4 linked regions of the Drosophila melanogaster genome follow. The protein of the gene in region 3 interacts with the protein of the main gene of each other region in a pairwise test. Each region holds a gene or a part of one and is shown on either strand. Other genes may lie near its edges. The genes, in order: CG13124, CkIIalpha-i3, trbd and CG31244.

Region 1 (7,720 bases), on a different chromosome or scaffold from region 3:
GCTGGAGCTAATCTCTCTGCTCTGCTTCGTGATGCCCAAATTCTTTGCCAAGAGCATTGAGGACATAAAATCGTTGTTTGCTAAGGTAAAACAAAGATTGGTTTCACACAAAACAATATATAAACTTCATGTTCCTTGCAGAAGGGAAAAAGCGATGGAGATCAGGATGAGGTTTCACAGTTCCAGGAAACACAAATCCAGAGAGCAAAGCGTATCATGAAGCCATTTGTACTCAGACGGCTTAAGAAAGATGTCCTTAAGAACCTGCCCAAGAAGCTAAGCCTGGTGGTAAGTACGTCGGGCGAAAATAAATATTATACAATAATTAAATTGTTTTTTATTTAAAGGAAAAAGTGCCCATGAGCAGTCAACAGAAAATATACTATCACGAGCTGGTCGATTATTATTCCAATAACAAGGGCGAGGTGTGCAGCAGCAGCGAAAGGGCCGGCATAGCGATCATGATGGAGATGCGCCGCATTGCAAACCATCCGTTGCTGATGCGTCACTACTTCACCGACGCCAATCTACGTGGATTCTCTAAGCGCCTGGCTAATGCCAGTTCCTTTAAAAAGACCAACGAGCAATACATCTTTGAAGAGCTAGCCGTTATGTCAGACTTTCAGGTCTATCAGATGATGAACAAGCATGTAAGTGACTATCAAAGAGGTTGTCCAATGACAATGACTAAATTTGTGCATCTTTCAGGAGTTTTACGACGTGAAAATACCCGATAATTTGATATGCGATTCTGGAAAATTCCTCTACCTGGATACGTTGCTTCCAAAACTGAAGGCAGAAGGACACCGTGTGTTGCTTTTCAGCCAGTTCACCATGATGCTGGACATTGTGGAGGAGTATCTGCGAATACGAAAGTTTGGTTTCTGTCGCCTGGACGGGGCGACCGCCGTAAATGTCCGCCAGGATTTGATCACCGACTTCAATGGGGACGATAGCATCTTTGTGTTCCTACTCTCCACCAAAGCCGGTGGCGTTGGCATCAACCTGACGGCTGCCGACACCTGTGTCATTCACGATATCGACTTCAACCCGTACAACGATAAACAGGCCGAGGATCGGTGTCATCGCATGGGACAGCAGCGTCCGGTGACCATTTACCGTCTCATTTCCGAGAGTACCATCGAGGAGGGCATCCTGATGGCCGCCGAAGAGAAGCTAAAACTAGAAAAGGACATTACTTCCAACGAGAAGGGCGAGGTGCACGAGCAGCGATGTGTGGTCAAGCTGTTGACCACAGCCCTTGGCTTGGACAAGGATCAGGAGGAGCAGCTAAACAATTCACTAAACAACTCCATAGCCTCGCCCGCCAAATAGGCATTCTCGTTGTCCTCGTTCTCGTCCTTGTCCCCACCTCCGTATTTATTCTGCGCGAGCATTTGATCAACTTGGTCTAATCGTCCTACCGCTGTCAAATCCTGTTAACATCGTTTGAATTATTCTAACAATATTGTATTTGTATATTTTTTAAACTTGTATGCAAGGAGAGATTTGGTGTATGGTATGCCAAAAGTGGATCATAAATCGAGTTAGTAATTTTTCACCGTTGAGGCGACATTAGTTTTTCTTCATTAGTAACAGCAACATTTCCACGATAAACCAAGGCAGACAAGTTAATATTCTTGTTTTATTGATTTGTCATCATGATTAGTTTTCATTTCTGTAATTTCTGTTTATGTATCGAATTGAAACTATTGTTATAAGGATAAAGATCATTTTGTGTACGAATGCGATCATGTTCATTTATTTCTACATATTTGCTCTATAGTTCGAGCCGCTCGACAACCCTAAACGGATCGCTCTCGCATTTTCCCACGAGATTCTTTTGGTTGTGTGGTGCAAAGAGAAGCGGAGAATCGCTTTCCAGAGAGCACAACTGTAATGAAGAGCTTTCGGCTGGCGCGGCGATTCATCAAGTCTTTAGTCTTCAACTGATCGCTCGCGCCGATGATTTAATTTTTAAGTTAAAGCCTGCGCCCAGTGTAGCAGCCGGCAGCGTTACTCACATCCATATACATACATACGTGCGAATATACATACATGCTCACATAATACGGCGTACATCGATAAATAGATATACCCCGCAGATATAGTGTCTCGATCGACAGCAACGAACCCATGGAAACCTAAAGTAAAACCAAAATTCCAAGGTTCCATTGTCCCGTAGTTAAATGTGTTTAAATCCAATTACATCCCCGATCCTTTATATTTTGCTCTTACGAATCGGGATTATGTGATTCATGCATAAGTACATACGTTTCCTCCCCGAATACTTTCTTGAATTCTATTTAAAAATAGACAAACTGTTTGCGAGCGGAAATCATATTGTGCCGCGGCGGCGACTAAAACGCTAAATAAATCGGGCCAATAATTTGAAATAGTCTGTTCTTTTTTTTATTTTGTCTTTCTGCCAGCCCGCTGATATTATTGTTTTTGACCAACGGAAACGGAAGCAACGCCAACTGCATATAGGTTTATAGATGTATCTACATAGTGCTGCGATACAGTCATCATTCGCAGCGCTGTCATATACTATAAATATAGATGCGGCGGCACATGTGAGCAGTTTTTGGCAATTGCCAAAGAATACGGCGCACAAGTCGGGTGAAAACAAACAGCGCGTGCAGGCTAAACATGAAGAGTAGTATAGGAAAATATAAATAACAATTAATAATCCCCTCATTTTGGCCGCGCCTGTATGCGTGTAGTGACCGCTTGTATGTGTACGTGTGAGAGTAATCCGAACAATAACTATATTATATACATAAATAGCGAGCGATCTGCATTAAATGAGAGAAAAATCACAATAAAAAGAAAAACGAACGAACACAACAACGCGAACAAAAATTAAGAAACCAAAACGGAATCGGTAATAATTGACGACGAGCAGACAACGAGCCGAGAACAAGCAGCACAAAGCGACAAACCAAAAATAGACGATACCAACGGTGCGTATACTTAACGAGCCACCCGCTCATATCACTCATCTCGCCCTCTCGCTCGCACAGCAGCCACCAGTCATCCGAGCAAAAGCAACAACAATAGGCACTAAAATCAATTGTGATCACAGTGCGTTTGTGTGAGTGCGTATGCGTATGCGTATCTGTGCCTTTTTTTGCATTTGCCGCTGTATCTGCCTGCATCTGTATCTGTGTCTAGAGGCCCGCAATCCATAACCATCTAGTGTATTACCCCATATGCGGACTATTTGGGCGTGGAGGGACGCTTCGAAATATTAATTATTTCTGACACTGTTTACGGCTTGACTTGGCGCATGCCAAGCATGATTAAACGAGACACGAAAGAGCGTATCTACGAAGTAGATAAATATCTTTATACGAACAACTAAGCTGCGGCACCAAGCAACAATCGAATCGACGAATAGCAACAACGCACAAACAAACCCATCTATATATACACTATAGACAGAGATAAACAAAAGCTCAAGCAGCAACAGCAGCAGCAACAACGAAACAATTTGAAGGAAATATTTTTGCACTAAAAGGTGAGTATATCCGTCCATCCGACGCTGATTCATAATACCAGCCTAGCTTATTCCGAGCACTCTGTTTGGCAATCTGAGAATGGGAAGTGTAGAGCAATTAGCGAGGCAAGTTCACATTGCTATGATAGTAGTCACTCTCACAGGGCAGTTAACCTATGTAAGATTCTCTAAGTTCGTTAATTACCACATTTTGACAAGTTCATTGTTTTATTGATATAAGTGGATGGTACATATAAGTAAGAAGAGTCAAAGATTTATTCAAGCCACATTTTGTGATAATAGATGGTAGAGAGGCCTGACTGTACAATGTATCTTTCGTATGTATCTTTCGCGGAGACTCACTTCGGACTTCTTGTGGGCCGCAGAATAAGAATTACTCGGGGGCTGATGTCATGTTCGGAGATGAAGTGCTCTAGCCAGAGGTTCCAAACCAGATGCAACTCCTACGCTCGGCCATAAAGCCGGTTGGTTGCTCGACAAGATCAAGTAGTTTGCGCCTCCCTCTCGCATGTGGGTTAAAGAGTTTTTGTGTATCTTACTTGATATATGTTGACAATAATATAATGCGATATGCTGAAGTATATAATTAATTTTCATTGTATTCCAGACCCGGCAATCTGAATCTGCAAAAGGGGAAGATATCCCTCAACATCGTATTAAGAAGAGAACTCAACTCGATAAAGGAGGAAAGGAAACCAACTATTGTGATATGTACAAATTTACTCAAATACTGAAGCCACACATTTAGACGTTTATTCGACGGAATCCCAGTTGTGAATCGATTAACCGGAGGATAATCTACCAAAGATTAGGCTTTCATCTTCAATTAGGTTTTACCCAAATAGAGCAGAAGCAGTACTCGCGCAAAAATCGCAGGATGGCCGAAAAGGTGGAACTACTGGCCCAGGCCAGCATGAATGGCCAACAGAATGATACGCGGAAGGTGCGCAAATCACCGGAATTTCAGCCCGGCGTTATCTCCCGCGAACGCAGCTTTGTGCGCACCTCAAATCAACAGGTGGGTACACCATATCGATGTCGATTAGCAGCCATATTTATATAATTGTTTGTTCATTCAGAATATCAACAAACGGCGAAGTCTGGCTTTCAACGTACCTGGCAATCAGACGGGACAGATGAGGGGCAAACCAGCCATGGATATCTACAGGCCTCCCAGTGAGTTGTTTTAGTCATTCGTTATAAATTCTCTAATTCGCTTGGGTGCTTGGCAGGGTGCTCGGTGCTAAAGAAGTTAAAGAACTCAATATAATAGAGAATTTTTATATTTCGAGGATATTTAATCGGTATTATTTTAGTGGTGGCTTAGAAATACAAACACATCAAGTGTAGATATATGCATTTGGACGAGAAAGGTACTGAATAATCAAAAACATACATGTACATATAACGATATTTATTATAGGCATATTTTATAGGGACTATTTCCGTTTTTTTTCCAGCTTAGTCCTTAAAAAGTGAGATTGAGCATATTTAAAAATGTAAATATTAAATGTCAATAGTCACATATGTACTTCAGCCAGCCCAGCTTAAGATGCTCTATTCTTTGCTGCCAGCTTATCAGTTCCAATTAATACTTACTGAGACCACATTTTTCTTTTGATTCTTTTCATATCTCTGTCTCATACCCTGTACATTCCGTCCCTCCACACAATGTTGTCCTACCCCCCAACATCATCACATACACTCTTGGGTATACCGACCCTTCCCCAACAATAATCCCCACTTGACTCTGTCTCAGATGTGCGCGGAGAGCTAGCCGCTCCAGCCGGTGGTGTCGGTGGTGATGGTCCGAATGGTGCTATCGGTGGTGTCGCCAACAAGCTGAACGTCAATGCCCAGGAGTTCACAATGACAACCAGCTCCGGGGCACCGGCCGAGGCACTCGGCAACCGGTAATGCAAAGTCTTTTAATTCCATTGTTTACCCCTCTTCCCGTCTCCTTGCAGAGCTAAACTACAGTCTACAACATTCTTCCAGTTCGTCGCTAATACTTCCGCTCACCAATGGACCCGGAGTGGGAGTTGCACCGGGTTTGGGTCCGTACGGAAACGTGAATCGCCGCCAGGCCGGACACTCCCTCGGCAACATGCCGGGCTTGAAGGCCAACCACCGGTCGATCCTGGTGACGTATCCAATCAATACCGGTGCCCTCAGCGGTCAGCTGCCGCTAATGAACTCGCCATCCAGTGGAAATATACTTCACGTGAGCTCTAATTTAAAAATATTGGTAAAAAAAAACAATATTTCAATAAATAAACACCTAAATTCCAGACAACAAATCGTGTAAAGTTTGCACCTGAGCCCCGAGGTCACAAAGTGGCTTCGCATAATCAGTTTGGTCAACTAAACAACAACTATGCTCAGCCTTATCAGGCGAATATTAATGGAGTAGATCCTTACATGAATGGAAATGCACTGCAACGCTCCAAGTCGTTGTCGTCGGCGGATGCCCTTACTCGTGGAATGGCCGGATTGGGACTAGGTTTGGGCAACGAGGTGGCCGACATAGGACAGTTCACGCCAGAGATCCAGGCGCTTATTGACACGGCCCTGGAGGATCCCAATAAACTGAACTCTCGCTGTCTCATGGAACTGACATCGCAGTTCATCAAACGCGCGGTGGAGAGTCGCCGTTTTGCTCTGCCAATATCACGACTGTGTCTGAACATCATTGCCCGGGAGCAGAAGGAAACGTTTCTCGAGGCGCTCCTCAACACATGCCGTCAGTGGTACCAGGAGCGTGAGAAGGTAGGCAATTCAGCATAAATTTCCATGATCATTTCATATTTAAAAATCTTTTACCCCGCATGCAGCTGTTGTTTGCCATCCAGGGCATGAAGTCGCCATCACGTGTCCGATTCACTGCCTTTATGGCCTTCCTTACGGAAATGTTTTGTCAGCTGAAACGTCGGCAGCTCCAGCTACGCACCCACCACGAGGGCACTCCTCCGCCACTGGTACTGCTTAGTCTGCTCTCCAAATGTTGCGGGGATTGCGTGCGTCCACCCATTAGATCACTTTCAGAGGTACGTTTTTGATTGATCAAGTGGTTGGAATAATACATGTGATTACTATTCATAACTTTCAGATTGAGTGCTTGTTTTATGTTTTGACCTGTATTGGCCAGGACATGGAGCAGCAGTTGCCCCAGCAACTGGAGTTACTCATGAGTCTGGTTCGCGATGCCTTTTTGAATGCCGGCGAATCTGCGGCCTCCATTCGGCGCACTCTTCTCCAACTCATCGAGCTGAAGGCCTCCCACTGGCAGCTACCAGGCAATACGGTTCTTTACTACACGCACACTAACAATTAGGAACGAGATCTGGAGCTGGGGACATGGCGGGGATAAGGGCACTGTGCAAGCATCAGGACACCATGAGCAATTGATTCTGTTGTCGCATTGCATTTAGGGCCTGGAAAACTTCTGTTCTATTTATCTTATTGTATTCTTACCTAGACATAAGCAATATTTATTTCGGCAGCAGCTATAGAGAGAAACTAACCCGAGACTTGCACACTACACACCAAGCACAGTACCAAATAAGATCGAACTCTTGGATTCGATATCTTTGGACTGTGCTATAATCTAAGGCTCAACATTTATGTGAATCCATATATTTATGTGTAATAAATCACAGCTAGTCAAACGAGGGTGCAAGTTTATTTTATGCGGGGCACTGCATTATTGGTCATCACAAACAAAAAGACAATAAAACAGTATGCTTCAAATGCATACAAATTTTAAAAACTTATCTTTTTGGTTTTGTAATAATGACTCGCGCTTACCTGTTGAACTTTGTTGAACTACGACCCTGGACGACCTTATCAGCGGCCTGCTATGCCATTTATTCTGCTCCCTATTTAAGCACCAACTAAGGCTCAAAAATCCAGAGTCTTGCTCGACAAGTTGCAATGGTAAGTCGAACATAAGATTAGTAGTTACCTCATACCAATATTGTCCTTAACTATAGGTCGTTCTAAGTTGTTTTATTTGGCTTGCCCTTTATCACTCTGCAAATGCAGCGCTGGAGGGCAGTGAAATTAAGTTTGGGGACGAATCAACTACAGAATCGGCTGAAAAATATCCTGATTACTGCTGGATAAATCCTTTTCTCCCGGGCTGTCCATTTGGTCCGGGTGATGGCAATAATTCGACCACAAAGATTTCAACACTGG
Region 2 (4,258 bases), on a different chromosome or scaffold from region 3:
TCGGAAAGCTTAGAGCATAAAGTACACTTTGTTGAAAATATACAGCAGTTTTTTAGGCACATTAAACAGAAAATATGTGCGGTCGCACGTGTTTAAAGTTGCCAGAGCGAGTGCAACTCAATGACTGAGCATGCGGTCCGAACATTGCAGAGATCTGGACTCTCCTCCGTTTGGCGGAGCGGCAAAAACCGTATCTTTGCGAGAGACATTCCGCTCTTTCTCTCGCGATCTAAACCGACTTCCCACGTTCCGATTCCGATCGTGGTGGTATTCGTTCGCGGTATGGGATTTATTTTCGGATCGAGAGTAAATATTCTCTCGCTAAAGCAGCTATAACTGGTTTAACATGCCGAAAAACACAAATCGCATTACCACCTAATCTGAGCTGAAACTGGTTTGATATGTACACATACATATATATAAAGCTATTTTTGCTCAAATTATATCTAGTGCTTAATTTAACGTTTACCACATTTAAGTGGGACCCTGTTGGTTATTCCACTCTATAAACTCTTTTCGCATATTACAATTATTTACACATTTTGGGTCTTGACTCTCAAAGGCAGGACACACGAACATTTTAATTGTAGATTACATATAAAAACTAAACTTTATTTTTGTGGCGTCAATAAGATCATAGATCGAAATCCTCGTTCTGAGGCGGATTTAAAACTGATTTTTCAACTTCAGTAAGTAGTCCAATGGCCCGATAGTTATCATTTAACATGGCGTACTCCTGTAAGACCTTCACGTAGGCCAAGGCCATATTTTTACAGTCGATGGATTTCAGTGAATTTTGTAAGGAAGCGACTACTTTGGGGTCCACATCGTCTTGACTGGTCTCATTTTCCTCCTGTCATTGAGTCATTTATCGTTACGTTAGTTCTATTACAGTCCAAGGACCTGTTTACTTACCTCAACTGCTGCCGTGTCGTGAGATTCAACAGTCTAAAAAAAAACATTCCAAAATTAAACACATTTTTCAGGTTGAAGAAACAACTAACCTCCTTGATCTCATCTTTTAAGGTCGTTTCCTTTTCCAATGACCCAATTTCCTCTTCATCGGTAAATTCACCATGCTAAGAAAATTAATAATAAGTGCTAATGTTACTGTTGATCTACTTGTACACACCCACCTCTATCTCTATTTTAATTATAGCTTCTTCAGAATCCGTACGCACGCGTACTTCTAATTTTTTCGACTTCGCCTGCAATAATAGTATTAATTTATGTTGCGACTTTTCAATAGTGTCATACCATTATTGGCGTTTTGTTGGCTTTCTTATTTCCTGCCGCTTTTGCTTTTTCATCATCAGACCATTTTTTACACACCTTACAAAGTTTGGATGGACGATTCTTAGTCAGCTTTCTTAGGTATTCACACCTCTTACAGCCACTTTTAATTAGACCGCTTTGTTGCTAGGATTAGTTTTATATTTACTAGCATTTAACTTATCCTTTATATGTTTGGCTATACTCACCAAGCTTACAGCTTCCTTCCACTTGTTGGTTTTTGCATTTAACATATTTCTAGGTTTCTAAAAAAGCATATCGAGTTCAGTCGAAATTCGATCAGAATTCGATGAGAGTTTTCATGAAAACATGGATGGATATTGGAAGCGCAATGAAAATATGTATAAGTTCTTTTGTAACGGTTCTTACATTGATCAGCTTTGGTTTCTCAGTAAGTTGCTCAGTTTTGTCCATCTTGGCCTCCGTCAGCTGGACCAGGCGATCCCGCCACCTGCGGCAGATTCTCTTGGTCTTGCGCTGTTCCTGCACCAGTGAGATTGAGCTGCCCACTTGGAACTCGCGCTGTGTGGGATCGGTCTTTGCCTGGATTTTGTTCCTCATCTCCACCATTTGCTCTATGTATTGTTTGACCTTGATGATTTCGGCATCCTGCAGGCCAATCAGAATGTCCCTGTACTTCCCAATAAGTCCTTTGAAACGTATCACTTGCATGGCAAGCATCATGGACTGCGCCTTGTAGGACGTACGCTTCGAGTTATTCTTCTCCTTCTGGATGACAGTGCGCAGCTGATCGAGCTCGCCATAGGTATCATTAAGGTAGCGGATGGCATTACGAAGATTTGACTCCGCTGTGGCAAAGGCGGTAGCATCCGGTGGACGAAATCCTGGCGGGGCAGGACCCAGTGCAAATAACCGGGACTGCAAGTTGTCCGATAAATTGGATTCCTTTTCCATAAATTTAACAAAACTTAGACTTCCACAATATGCTTTTTTGTAGACTTCAGATTGGTATTGCCCATCCGATGCATTTAGGGTTGCAATTTCGAAGTTATCGATAAAGTTTGCTTCATTTGATCAATATTGCATAATACTATAACTTTTTATTAACTGTATTACATGTTTTCACGATACTAGTTAATTCTTTTCAATTATGTTTGAATTTTCTATTTTGTGCAACCGAAGGTCTTTTCTTGAACCTTTAGTGTCATATTGGTGCTGCCAGATTTTTCGGTTTTTGTCAATTTCCAAGACGAACTTGCTTACAGATCGGCGTTGATCTCGGCAGGATTCACTTTGTTACTCTTCAAAATACTAATAAGATTTCAGAAATGTTGGTTTTTCTTGTGAAATTCCTTTAGATTGTTGTAACTATAGGTTTTAGAAAACGGTATTGCCACAGCGCAATATTTTAGCCAATACCCAAGCCAGATTTGTTTAGAACCAGATTCATTTTTCAGTGGTGTTAGCAAGTGCATGAACCATATTTAAATAAAGTAAATTAAAGTATATATATTATAAAATATTAAAATCTTAAATATAGAGGTATAAATTAGGTATGTGCCTTATCTTATCTTTGCTTTTCCAGTAGATTACGTGCTTGTTTATAAGGACACTACGTTTGATCCACCTCGAAGTCCTTGATCTGGGCTGGATATTGAATGGCGTGCTCCACCTGTATTAGCAGTCCTATGGCCCTGAAATTATCATGGATCATGGCGTACTCCTGGAGCGCTCTTAGGTGTCTCAATGCCTCTTCGTCGTTGCTGATGGAGATCTCGGCCGCAGACTCTGACAAATCATTAGTATTGGGTTCGGCGGCATTAAAGACTGTAAACTGTTCCCCATCCCGCTGCCGATCCGTTTGCACTTCGTAGTCCTTCTGGATCTTGATATCGACATCATCCAATGGCTGCTTTCGTTTGCGATACGTACGCATTTGGCGGGGAATAACTGTGCTGACAGTGGTGCCCATAGACAGCATCCTGCCTTTCTGGATACCGGTCTCCAAACTGACCACCGCTTCATCGAAATCATTGATGGAAAGTTCCTGCGGCGGTGGGACAGGGTCATCCTTTAGAATTTCGGACATCTCGTCGTAGAACTGCCAGTTTGGATGGAAATGCGGTACCTTCGCCAGGAGCTTGCTCCTTATGCTATAGTAGGTCTTCTTCAGGTTCCTAAATTTTCGATCCAGCTGAACTGCATCGATATCTGTCATTCCCTGGCTTTCAAGGGCAACGACCATTTCCCCCCAAATGTCCTTGATCTTTTTTTTCGGATCCCGAAAATCAGCTTGGCGTTCATTGTAAAGGGACAATAAAAGTCGGGTGTTGGATGTACACCACTTCCTTTCGTAAGCTGGCTTATTGTGAGTATATATATAGTTTTCTTCTTGAATTTATGTTTTTTACTCACACTTTGTATCCATTGTTTACAATAGCTATTCAGTTGATGACGAATAAGTTTTGTTTCCCAGGCTGCCAGTTCTTTCGGACGGCGTAAGAGAAAGGTATCATGATCCAAACATATGTGTTTCGATTTTTCTCTATCGATAACTATCGAAAAGGTTGCACGAAACAAAGATGGGAATAGGCTTTCGTTTTTTGAAAATGGATTTTTTGCCTAATCTATATCAATACTCGCTACCGAAGAGAACATTTATTTTATATAAATACTCATCTTAGCCTCATTTAATTGCCATTATGTAGTTTTTGAATTTAAAAATCTCGCAGTAAGGATTTAGTGAGTACTTGCCGCAGGTTGAGACCTCCCGCAACTTAATTATAGAAAGTTAATATTGAAATGGACCTACATACATTACAAATAAGCACATAACTATTACTGTGCTGCCATCTACCGGCAATGCGACTTTCATTTACAGACGCTAGATGTCGCCCAAACAGTTCGTCGATAGGGGCGCAGTAGTATAAATGTAAAATAACCGGGTACCGTATACTCGAGTATACACAGTAAAAAAAAGTTTAATAAACCAATATTGATTTTT
Region 3 (7,549 bases):
CCCAAAGATAAGTTTCGTATGGAAATAGCGGTTGGGTGTTAAACTTGGCTACAATTGGAAAGGTGGGGAGCTCGGCTGTGGAAGAGCATGTATTAGTGATGACACCGTTCGTGCCACTGTACCGTTCCCTATAAATTTGATAATCTATAAAAATAACAAGTAATTCCATAAATGATGCTGCTTATAATTTACTTTGTACTTTATAGAGACAGAAATAATAATGAACTACTTTTTTTTATCTATCTACTAGTAAAGTTAGTTTGGGCAATAAAGTAGGAAAGTCCATACTTTATTAAAATAAATTCAACTATAGTCATTTTGTTTCCGTTTAAATCTTTACTTAAAACTTTTATTTAAATAAGTGATTTTTTTTATGCGTTTTGCGTGTACATTTGCACAATAAGCTTTCTTAGAAGTTAATAATAATAATTGTAATAACATTACTAACAAAAATAATAATGAGATAAAATTCCATTTATAATACAATAAGAATAAAATTCATTATGTTATTGGCCCTTTGTTCAACTGTCTAGAACCATAGGATTTCTATATATGTTATATAATTATAGATATTATATTTATAGGCATGAATGTATAATGATTCATAATAATTCCAAAAAGTGTTTTAAAAACTATCAATAAACATTTCAATGACGCTTTCATTTTCACCCGCTGCATAATTATGTTGTGTGTTCGCCACCCATTTAAAATTTAATAGTACATTGAGATTTGCAATATTTTAAGTCCGGAGCTTGGGTATTCACATTAACTACCGCGTACATAGGTGTACAAATTCCACCGCTTAAATTCGCATCTGCCTTTCGTACACGTAATCATTTAATGGATTGTTTCACATGTGAGTGTAATTAAATCTACCAGTGTATAGCTTCAATTTCGTAGTAAATGTGGTCTATATTGCCTCGACGACCCAGTGTGAATAAATTTGACTAAAATCAACGAACGTTGACTTGGGAACGGATATGATATACATACGTCGATCAATCTATTTTCGTACGTTGCTACTTAACCTTTAGTTTGCTTTCAATTTAGTTACAACTACAACTTTCAACTGCTTGCATATATGCATATGTATTCTCTATAGTTTCCTTTAGCTAGCTGCGAGTGCAAGAGTGTAGGATCTGCACTTGTTATTCCTGTCTCAAAAATCTGCTAACGATCGCCAAAAGTACAAAATAAGGATATTGAATTCTATGCACAGCATCCTAATCAGAAGCTGGGTGACGGATGTGCCGCATCATATCCTCTACTCCTCATCCGAGTCGCCATCACTGGAGTAATGTGTGATTTGAGGGCGACGAATGAAAGGCGCCGTTATCACTTGTCTGAAAGAAAGTTTACAGGTTTAATTAGCATGTCTATGTCCGGAAGGAGAGCAAGTCATATTTACGCAATGCGGCGGTAGTGATTTAGCCACTCTTCCAGCATCTGGGCGACCAGCAAGGGACGCTTGCTTAGCTTTTGTTGCGCCACCAGTAGGCCTCCATCAGTTACGCACACGTCCAGCCATTGACGCATCATTGACTCCTCGTTGCCAACCTGCAGGCAAGGAACGGAAATGTCTAAGCTCACAATGTTCTACAGGATATTTGAATAAGCTCTCACCTCCGACTGTGTAAGGAAATGTATGGGCAAAAGTTTCAGCTCGCAGTCCATTAGCGGGAGATAGGTTACGTCCTCCACATCGTCACGCCGCCCATCGATGCGAGTGAATGGCTCCATCGGCACCAGGGCGCTGAAATGGCCACGTGTGTAGCCCAGTGCTATCGGTGACTTGGTGCAAAAGTTTTGATCCCAGAACAAAGGCAAGTAGACACCTAGAAATAAGGCAATCAAATAAATGCAATACAGCGACGTAAAAATTAATAGCTACCTTCGAAACGCGCGTATCCAATGTCCTCGCCCCGAAAACTCTTGACGTACTTCACGCCGTAAACGATAATCGGCCGACGAAGGATATGCGCCAGCGCAAAGATGTGCAGTTGCTCCAGGGACGAGCCGGGTTGGCCGGCCAATGACAGTAGTGTACTCCAGTCCTCCTCGAACTGAGAGTCCTCCAGCGTAAAGTGGAGCATCGAAGCCTGCAGCATCTCGTACTCTTTCCAGCGAGTAAAGAACCTACAATAAGAGTATCAAGACTATTAATAAGCTGACGGTTGTTAAAACAAATTCGTTTAACTTACACATGCCCGCACTGGTGCAGTGTGTCGGCGAGTGCCCGCCTAAGGATATTGTCACGATCGAAGACGCCCCAGGTGGCCTGCATGGCCGAGTCCAGCAGGCAGTCGCCAGCACTGCGGTTCCACAGTACAAACATCCGTGAGCTCAGGCGAGCAGTGATCTCCAGCGACCAATTCAAGGCCGGCGGCGGCGTCTCCAGCTGTTTCTGCGCGTCGCGGTCGAGCAGCTCATCGTAGAGCTGCTCCTGTATGGGTATCGGCAGCTCCTCAATCTCGGCGGGGAGGGCGAAGGTGGCGTGCTTTTGCACATAGTGGCAGGGTAGACCGGACTTGCGCAAGCGCAGGGTATTGGCAAAGTGGCGCCGGATATCGGCCGCCAAGTCGGGAGCCACGTAGGACGGCACACGCTTGATGCCCGGCCCCGAACCGGAGATCTGGTCCAGCAGCATCGGTAACATCTCCTCGCGATGAAAACGAATGGCCAGGTGGATCAGGGTGTGGCCCACGTCGAAGGCCGAGTTGCGGTTGAGGGCGGCAATCTCGGTGCTGGTCAACGAACGGGCTGGATTGCCACCGCAGGAGAGGTACGCCTCCACAGCGCTGTAGTTGTTCTCCACGACGCCCAGGCACGCATTCAGCCACTGCCAGTCCACCTGTCGTCGGATTTGACGCTGGCGGCGCTCCTGACGCTCTTGCAGCGTATCACAGTTGTTGATGGTTTCCGAAGAACCTGGAAAGTGAATATCAATTAGTCATACCCAGAGAAATCACATTAAAAACTCTTACCCAGTTGGTAAATGTGCTTCTTATTGAACGAGTTATTGACGCTGACGGTATCCACGTTTGGCTGCTGCAGTTGTTGCTGATTCTCCTCCTGACTGTTTAGGCTGGATGAGGCGTGCAAGTCGTTCTGCGACCCACTAATCTCCCGCTCCCTCGTCTTGCCGCACATGGAGCACTTGATGCTCCTCGGCCAGTTTTCGTAAGTGCAAGACTAAGGAAAATTCTAACTTTAAGTACATCTGAGCGAATTGGTTGGGATATGAAAACCTACGTTACACGCCCATTTGGAGACATAGCACTGCTTCTGCTGCTGCGGCGGGACGGCGGCGGAGGATGAGGATTCCCGCTGTTGCTGCGGCTGCAGCTGGAGCTGCATCTGCTGCTGTAGGACAGGCTGCCGGTGCTGGGACTGCGACTGGTTGTGAGACGCATTGGCGAGATTGTTCAGATGGGTCGCATCGTCTATGCCACGACTAAGGCTCAAACGATGGGAGGCCGTGGCGCCGATGAGCTGAACCGGCTTATTGGCCAGGTTCTCCTCCGAGCCGCTGATGCGAAGGGCTTGCAGCGCCTCTCCTGCACGATCCCCGTCCGCCTCGTTATCCATGTCCTTTTTGCCACGCTCTATCGCCTCGCCACCGCGCTTCGTGCAGCACTGAACGCAGCGCAGGCTCCGCGGCCAATTGAGATAGGTGCACACCTTGCAGGGCCACTTTTCGCTGTCCGCCACGTTGCTCTGCCGTGCCTGGCTCTGCGGCTGGAGCGAGTAGCACGTGGACGAAGGTGTGGGCGACATTACGGCTACTTCGACGGCAGCCGCCTCCTCCGCAACGGTGCAGCTCTCCTGGGCTGGACTCAGACTGCAAGAATTAGCAAGTATTAATTAGCAGAAGATTAGGTATAGATCGTCAGAGTTGTCATACCGGAAGATGTCCTCGTTGAGCAGCGGCTTGGACGCCTGGCACATGGTGCATTTCAGCGAGGATGGGTAGTTCTCGTAGGTGCAAGTTTCACATTTCCATTTCTGCGCATCGTCTTTGGTATCGCACATTGTTTATGCGCGGAGCCGGCCAATGCAGTTGATCTGCCAAGGAGAAAGGGATCATACGTTGAATATTTGATATGGGATACACGAGTGTCACCAAGTAAGGGGATCCCATAAAATATGCTTTTACTAGTCAAATCCACCTGGCTGCCTTTTTTACTTCAAAATAGTTTAATTTCTGAACAATTGTAAGCTTAGACAATCATTTTAGTCGAAGTTGGTTGAAGATACGAAGAGTTTGATCAATAATGTATAGCTATGTTGACTTTTGTCGGAAGTTAATGAGATGTTGCATTCAAAAGAAAAAGATTATCTAAAAACTAATATTGGATTTATAAGTACGCAGGGAAATCTACAATTTGGAGGACATTTCAATTTACCTTGACTTATTTTGCAAAGTATAAAGACTATATGCATGACTCGTTTTGGGGGACAACTATCTACCAATGAATGTATCTACTAAGCTACTATTCTTTGGATAAGCGAACCGAAAGGGTATCCCTAAAGTCGGTGAGCGGCGAATCCACCACTTCCGACTCGTTAATAAGGTCAAACAACGGTTAGCGAGGCAGAAGCAGTGTCCTTGACCCTGAGACATAATTCGCAGATACATCCACAGATATGTACATCTGCCTTGGCTCCATTTCCATTTCCCCCACTGGCGTCACAGTCAGCCTTCGGGTTCTCGTTGCCTGGGATTGGATTGGAATGAATTGGATAGGGTCTGGTTTTGGTAGTAGTGGTGGTATAGGTGGTAGTGGTTCAACTGCTGGGTCGGTTGCATTTATTTGTTGCCATTATAATTCGCCTATGTATGTATGGCATGTGTCGCGTGCGATGTACGTACGTATGTATGTACGCTGGTATGCCAGTTTTCGCGCTAGTTTCTTATTGGGATTCGCCCCGTGCCATCCCAACCATCCCACAACCGCCTCCACCCCCCTTCCCACATCGACGTCTTTACACAGTACCTGGCGCAGAAAATCGCAAGGCCTTTTGCAGCAGTCCCAGAAAACGCGAATGCGACTGCGACCACGACAGCGATTGGATTCGATTCGAATCGAGTCGATTTAAATATATAACACAATCACAATAGGGACCGCGAGTATAGCATTAGTATTATAGTAGCTATAAGGTGTAGTTGCTATAGTCGCCGTCGGCCACCCGCGCCCGCAGCAGCGACACTATGTCGACGTCGATCCAATATTGCCAGTAATGAGCGCTGGCAGCAGGCAGGAAAATCACAATTACAAAACAAAGACGATGAGAAAACTTTCACTCGATTTTCAGTTTGGGGGGTTTTCTTTCTTGCTTTCCTTCTCAATTTTCAGCTGTACTTGCTTGGGGCGCGTGAAACGAAACTGCCCGCACACATTCACGGCGACGAACACACGCACGGTGGATCGTAGTGCAAGGAATTTGGAATTTGGATTATTTGGAAACAGCTAATTATTTATTTTTTACATTATTGCGAGGCCAATCATCTGGTTCTCTGTCCGCCTATCGACAACTATCGGTGCTCCGTCCCTGGCGCTCAGTGTTGAAAAGTGTCTCGGTTAGCTGGTTAGTCAAGCTTCACACCTACTGGTGTTCAGTGGTTTTCATGGCAAGTCTTAGAGATCGGGGGATGGTCATACTAGTAAATAAAATGGCGGGAGCTGTACATGAATTTCATTTGGTAAACAAATTATATTCTTAAAATGGTAAGAACACGGCCGGTGCCGTGTGTTCCGTCGCCAGATGTGAACACCGCAACGAGACGCAATCCCGGGCGTCCCAAGAAACAGTCCATCGGAGCTGACTTAAGCACAACGATAAGCAAACCCGGGCGTCCCAAGAAGCTGTCCATCGGAGCTGATTTGACCACAATACGTAAACCCGGGCGTCCCAAGAAACTCGGAGCTGATTTGACCACGATAATACGAAAACCCGGGCGTCCCACGAAACTATCAAACAAACAATCTTTGACAGCCCTAAACGAGCCAGAGTGTCGCATAAGAAAATGCGTGGTAAAAATAAGGCGCATTAAGGTAAAAAACGGTGTCGTATCCGAAATTTCTCGAAATGATGCGCCTGATGTGGATGCCAGCACTTTTGAGCCGGCTCGCAACTCGACGATGTACATTCCTTCGAAGGTACAGAAATCAACGCAACCCCAAAATATCAAGGAAAATGTGGCAGGTAAGAGGCTCTCACCAGGCGGATGATGGACTTTTCTTGATAAGCACAACTACTTGCAGGTCCCGAAACATCGCCATGTCAGCAACGCATAAGGAGTAAAAGCCCTAGTGGACCGGCAGCTGAGATTTCGCCCAAAAAACCACCTCGTTTCTTCCACAGAGATCAGCCTTTAACCAGGACACGATCATCGGTGACCCGCAACGTTTTCGATTTTCTGTCGCAGTCGCAGATCGAAGATGACAGTGACAGGGAGGATCCGGCGGCAGACATAATTCAGCGTTTGGTTAAGGATGGAAAGGCCTGCGTAATGGTGCGGTCAAGAAAAATCGGCAAACCGAGAGCCAAAAGAACAGCAAAGAAGGTCCGACCTGTGGGTAATCGAAGAAAGGTTTCGACAAAAGACAATGAGCCTGAGCCAGTCAAGGTCGTTCCCAAGTCCATAGAACCGCGCCTTCAAAAGCCATCACGCTCCTTATCGACCATTTTCGAGCCCGAGGAAGATTATAGCAACGATTCGGAGCACGGATACGTGCAGCCCATCGAAGTGCCCGTCCAGGTACATGTGGAGCCGAGCACTTCTAAGCAAGCGCACGAAGGAGCCTACAGTAATTTGGCCCGATCCGTAATGCTTAACCAGACCCAGGCGCAAAATCCACTGCCATCTACAGACAGACGTCGAGAACTTATCAACATGGCGCGACAATTGGTTAGCACGCCGCTGAATCGCAGAGCTCCTCCGGTGACAGATGTTAGTGCCACCACCACTGCATTGTCGCCTATTGCCCACCAGTCTCCAAATGCAGTTAGGACCGCGGGAGGCAAATCCCCCTGGCGCGTTTCCGACGATTCACCATTGCCCAATACTTTCATGTTTGGTTTCAACAACTCCCAGATGCCATCGTACTCCAGTGATCATGTGCAACGTCGGCATGTCTATGTGCCAGATTCGCCGGTAGAGCATGCTGAGAACATCCCTCACGAGGAATCCATTTGTCCGCCTTTGCACGAGCAAAATCATGACTCAAATGCGAACGACTCGAATGAGGAGAACCGTCCCCCTCCCACAATTAGCAAATCGATGTCGATCAATGACCAGGAAAGCGAAGAGAATGCGGAGAACTTTGTGCACCTGCCGAATCCTCGGAGAACGCTGCAGAAACGAACGCCCTTTAAGGATATTAACATACTAGAAGTAGTGACACTGCCGTCTTGGAAGAAGAACGTGACGGCCACTGTTTCAAAAGAAATCACTCCTACCAGAGTGGCACCTCGTCCAATGGCGACGTCATCCCCAGCGCAACGCAGTCAAACGCGGTCGAATCTTTTTGGTTTCGATGATGAT
Region 4 (3,333 bases), 9.7 Mb from region 3:
ACCCGTCACCACCCCTTGCTCAAGATTCACCATCGATTGCCGCAGTGCATGAACAAGTAGTTTAGCAAATGAATACAAGAGCCACACAGGGTTTTTCCGCCACCGAGATCGGGACAATGGCAAAGGAATTTCTCTCTCTATACTGACGTGTAAAATATTGTCCCAAACCTGTCTATAAATCATCAAATGAATGGGGAACAATTACTATAATGTAGAGAACTAAGAGCTAAGCCTGCATATGAAAAAATATAAAACATTTTGGAAGAAGTCATAGTACTATATTTAAAATTTATTTGACTTTCCAAATTAGTCACCGCTTATATATTCGACGTTTGAGTACCTACTCAAAGCAGTCCCAATTATAATTACGCTCTCATATGTGAAAACATATGGCTATTTTTCGTACTTGAATAGAGTACTGATCAAAACACACTTTAAAAAAAAATAGAGAAAACATTCTTTACAATAAACTATACAAATAGTTTATACGATAAAGTTCTAGAGGGTCATTAAGAGTTTTGTATTACGGATAATTTAAACTTTTGATAATTTAAAATTACTTGTGATTTTTGCCGAACTGACTTGAACTACTGGACACGCACATTGTCATAGATCTTTACGACATCTATGTCTTGAAGAAGGTTTTTACGAAACTCCTGATAGCGGGCCATTTGACGATCATTTAACTCGACGAGCGGCTTGTTTGGACAGTGTCCAACCTCCTTATGTACAATCTTGTAGTTGCACTGCCTGAGTTTGTACGCGACCTCTTGCAGGTCCAGAGGCCGACATTTGAACAAAACAGATCCTTTGGCCAAATCGGTAATGGTACTATCGGTGGCTTTGCACCACAAAGCATCAATTCGCAACGTTTGATTGAATTCCTCAAAGCTTAATGGTGTTACGCTCGGCAATGTGGCCTCAATCAAGCCAGTTTCGTTGAATAAATGTCGATTGAAGAAGCGCGCTTTGTTTTGCCGCAGTAAGGAGGCCAAGCGAAGTTTCAGTTCGGGGAGATTATCCGTCCTGATCTTGCAAACCATGGCAACCAATTGCCGCCCATAGTCCATGGGTATACTATAGGTGTGATGATTCCTCTCGCTCAACTCGCACTCCTTCAGAATTCGCTGCACTCGACTGTACGGCAATTGCAAGGGCGACAGTCGAGCCCTCAGCTCGTAGTTCTTGTCGGGATCTATGGAACCTCCCCCACGATGCACCGCTAATCGAAGCTCGTTAGCCAGTATTAACTCATCTGTCGTATCATGATCAAACTGCGCCTTTTTGGAGCTTAGTGGAACGCTGGTAAAGCCGGTCTTACTCGGGCTCCTTTCCCCATACATCGGAGCCCATCGTACTCGCTTTACGCTCGGTATCTCTGGATTATCCAGAAGCTCCAAGTCCAGCCCATTACGCTTATCGTTCTCTAATTTCGGGGAATCACTACGGATTAGGTTCGGCTTTGGTCTGTAGGGAGTAACGCTGGACTTGAGCTGAGGAAGTTTCGTAGTCTTGGTCCTGTCCATGGGTTCTAAACAGCTGTTGTTATGCATTTGAAATGAACTTGAAATTTGGACTACTTAAAGTTATTGTTGAAAATGAATGGATTTGACTAATACAATAGAAATTTCGGAGAGCGTATGAGTGAAAAGTTTTTAAAAGGCACTAATATAAATTCACAATGTGATTTCAAGAAAAAATTAAACGAAATCGAAACAAGGGACAAACTTTTTTGAAAGGCACGGTAAAAAAAATTGATATTGTACATCAATATACATAAATGAAAAAGTAAGTATAATATGAACTCACCGTATCGGCGGCTGTTAAATTAATTCCCAGTCCTCCGGCTCTCGTAGACAGTAAGAACACGAAGATATCTGCTCTCGTTTGAAAATCGGCAACCATATCGCGACGAGCGGATATCTTGCTTGAGCCATCCAGGCGCATATAGCGATGCTTGCGGTGCCACATGTACTCCTAGACATTTTATCAAAAAATTAAACTGAACAGTGATCGTTTCAAGTTTAATAAACTTACCTCGAGCAGGTCTATCATCTTGGTCATCTGCGAGTATATGAGTACTCGATGTCCATTCGCCTTCAATCGAGTTAGCAAGTTGTCAAGAACAAAAAGCTTACCAGCATCGGTAATCAGGGTTTCCTTGTCGGGCACCACAATCGAGGACCATCCACCATGAGGCTTGCACAAGGCCAATCCACTGGAGACAAGCTCCCTGCCCTGGCTATTCTCACACTGATTGTGGCGAATCTGGGACCACGCTGCAGATCGACTATCGCAGCTAAAATTGATATAAAAAAAGTTAAAAACCTGGATCGGTTTCGATGAATCCATTTGAAACTTACTATAAATATCTATGCACAGCTTGAACTTTTTGTCCCAAATCGTAAAGTATTCGTGGCATGGAAAGCGGTTCGCATACGTATTTTCTTGGCTTTCGTGGGCGATGCGGAAACTCTGGTAGCAGCAGCAGCGTCGTCACCTTAACATCGCTTTTGGCATTCGACTTTGTTTGCACCTCCACAGACTCGATTTCCAGCTTTTGCTTGGACACATCCTCCATCTCCTCGATTAGCGACGTTTTCTTCTTCAGAATCTTTGACCGAATTACACGGTGTTCGATAGTTTCCTGCATATTGTACGTAAAGTAATCGCCAAATGCGTAAACGCTGCTTTCGTTGGCGGTCTTTAAGCATAAATCATTGTATAAATTGTTCGAATAAAAATTTATAAATATAAATAATTATACCATTGCTGTGAATATGAAGTTCTTAAGGACACTGTTTGGTGGCATATAGTCGAGAGCTAGTTTGTTTTCCAACATCGGCTCCAGCAGTTGATATCTACTGTCCGGCTGCTTTTTCCACCAAAAGCGACGGTAGGCCAGCAGTGGGTATTTCTCCAAAACTCTTCGATAATGCAAAAGACTGTAGAAAAACAAACGTAAGTATTGTAAGTATTTAACCATTTGTTATTATCAAACAAAGGAGCACGACATTTGCGAATTTTGCTATTATAAACATGTTACTTACAGGTAAAGGGTATAGGAATACTCACAAATCTATCAGTCCATTTAAAGTTACTTCTACCATATCTCCCACAGATAAATCGCAAAGCCGGGTAAATCCGAAGCAACTATTCACGTTCACATCCTCAAAGAGAGACCTCTGTATGTATTCCGATTTGAAGATATTGAACCTGCAAATGGGCAGTCAAGGATTAAAAATTCAAATATGATAAAATGTTCAAAACCTATCCACTTACCGGTTATAGAGCAAGTGCTTTCGACTGGGCAGCATTCTGTGTATGAGTCCT

Evidence for each region.
Region 1: the proteins of trbd (region 3) and CG13124 interact in a two-hybrid assay, tested with the Drosophila melanogaster proteins (one large-scale study listed by BioGRID).
Region 2: the proteins of trbd (region 3) and CkIIalpha-i3 interact in a two-hybrid assay, tested with the Drosophila melanogaster proteins (one large-scale study listed by BioGRID).
Region 4: the proteins of trbd (region 3) and CG31244 interact in a two-hybrid assay, tested with the Drosophila melanogaster proteins (one large-scale study listed by BioGRID).

The regions. Positions count from the first base shown.
Region 1 is NT_033779.5:9,902,854-9,910,573, reverse strand, and holds CG13124 (uncharacterized protein), read left to right. Parts: upstream 1-1,940; 5' UTR 1,941-2,149; exon of another isoform or gene 2,150-2,266; intron 2,267-2,718; 5' UTR 2,719-2,966; intron 2,967-3,026; 5' UTR 3,027-3,523; intron 3,524-4,130; 5' UTR 4,131-4,400; coding exon 4,401-4,541; intron 4,542-4,602; coding exon 4,603-4,699; intron 4,700-5,282; coding exon 5,283-5,436; intron 5,437-5,490; coding exon of another isoform or gene 5,491-5,521; coding exon 5,522-5,747; intron 5,748-5,815; coding exon 5,816-6,292; intron 6,293-6,357; coding exon 6,358-6,570; intron 6,571-6,632; coding exon 6,633-6,857; 3' UTR 6,858-7,195; downstream 7,196-7,720. Other genes in the region: Etl1, read left to right, coding at 1-85, 142-288, 348-650, 709-1,335; Muc30E (mucin 30E), read left to right, coding at 7,457-7,459, 7,516-7,720.
Region 2 is NT_037436.4:708,076-712,333, forward strand, and holds CkIIalpha-i3 (CKII-alpha subunit interactor-3), read right to left. Parts: upstream 2,287-4,258; 5' UTR 2,283-2,286; coding exon 2,235-2,282; exon of another isoform or gene 2,209-2,234; coding exon of another isoform or gene 2,173-2,208; coding exon 1,663-2,172; intron 1,539-1,662; coding exon 1,482-1,538; intron 1,420-1,481; coding exon 1,258-1,419; intron 1,209-1,257; coding exon 1,137-1,208; intron 1,080-1,136; coding exon 1,005-1,079; intron 949-1,004; coding exon 916-948; intron 854-915; coding exon 635-853; 3' UTR 526-634; downstream 1-525. Other genes in the region: CG13896 (uncharacterized protein), read right to left, coding at 2,867-3,612, 3,670-3,682.
Region 3 is NT_033777.3:9,705,484-9,713,032, forward strand, and holds trbd (trabid), read right to left. Parts: upstream 5,555-7,549; 5' UTR 4,998-5,554; intron 4,066-4,997; 5' UTR 4,033-4,065; coding exon 3,905-4,032; intron 3,842-3,904; coding exon 3,253-3,841; intron 3,193-3,252; coding exon 2,985-3,192; intron 2,929-2,984; coding exon 2,202-2,928; intron 2,137-2,201; coding exon 1,892-2,136; intron 1,836-1,891; coding exon 1,624-1,835; intron 1,558-1,623; coding exon 1,409-1,557; intron 1,344-1,408; coding exon 1,265-1,343; 3' UTR 513-1,264; downstream 1-512. Other genes in the region: dmt (dalmatian), read left to right, coding at 5,727-6,207, 6,267-7,549. UniProt on the Drosophila melanogaster protein: Positive regulator of the Wnt signaling pathway. Specifically cleaves 'Lys-63'-linked ubiquitin chains. May act by deubiquitinating APC protein, a negative regulator of Wnt-mediated transcription.
Region 4 is NT_033777.3:19,396,930-19,400,262, forward strand, and holds CG31244 (uncharacterized protein), read right to left. Parts: upstream 1,639-3,333; 5' UTR 1,554-1,638; coding exon 588-1,553; 3' UTR 501-587; downstream 1-500. Other genes in the region: INO80 complex subunit, read right to left, coding at 1,810-1,977, 2,038-2,299, 2,364-2,704, 2,768-2,945, 3,076-3,216, 3,283-3,333.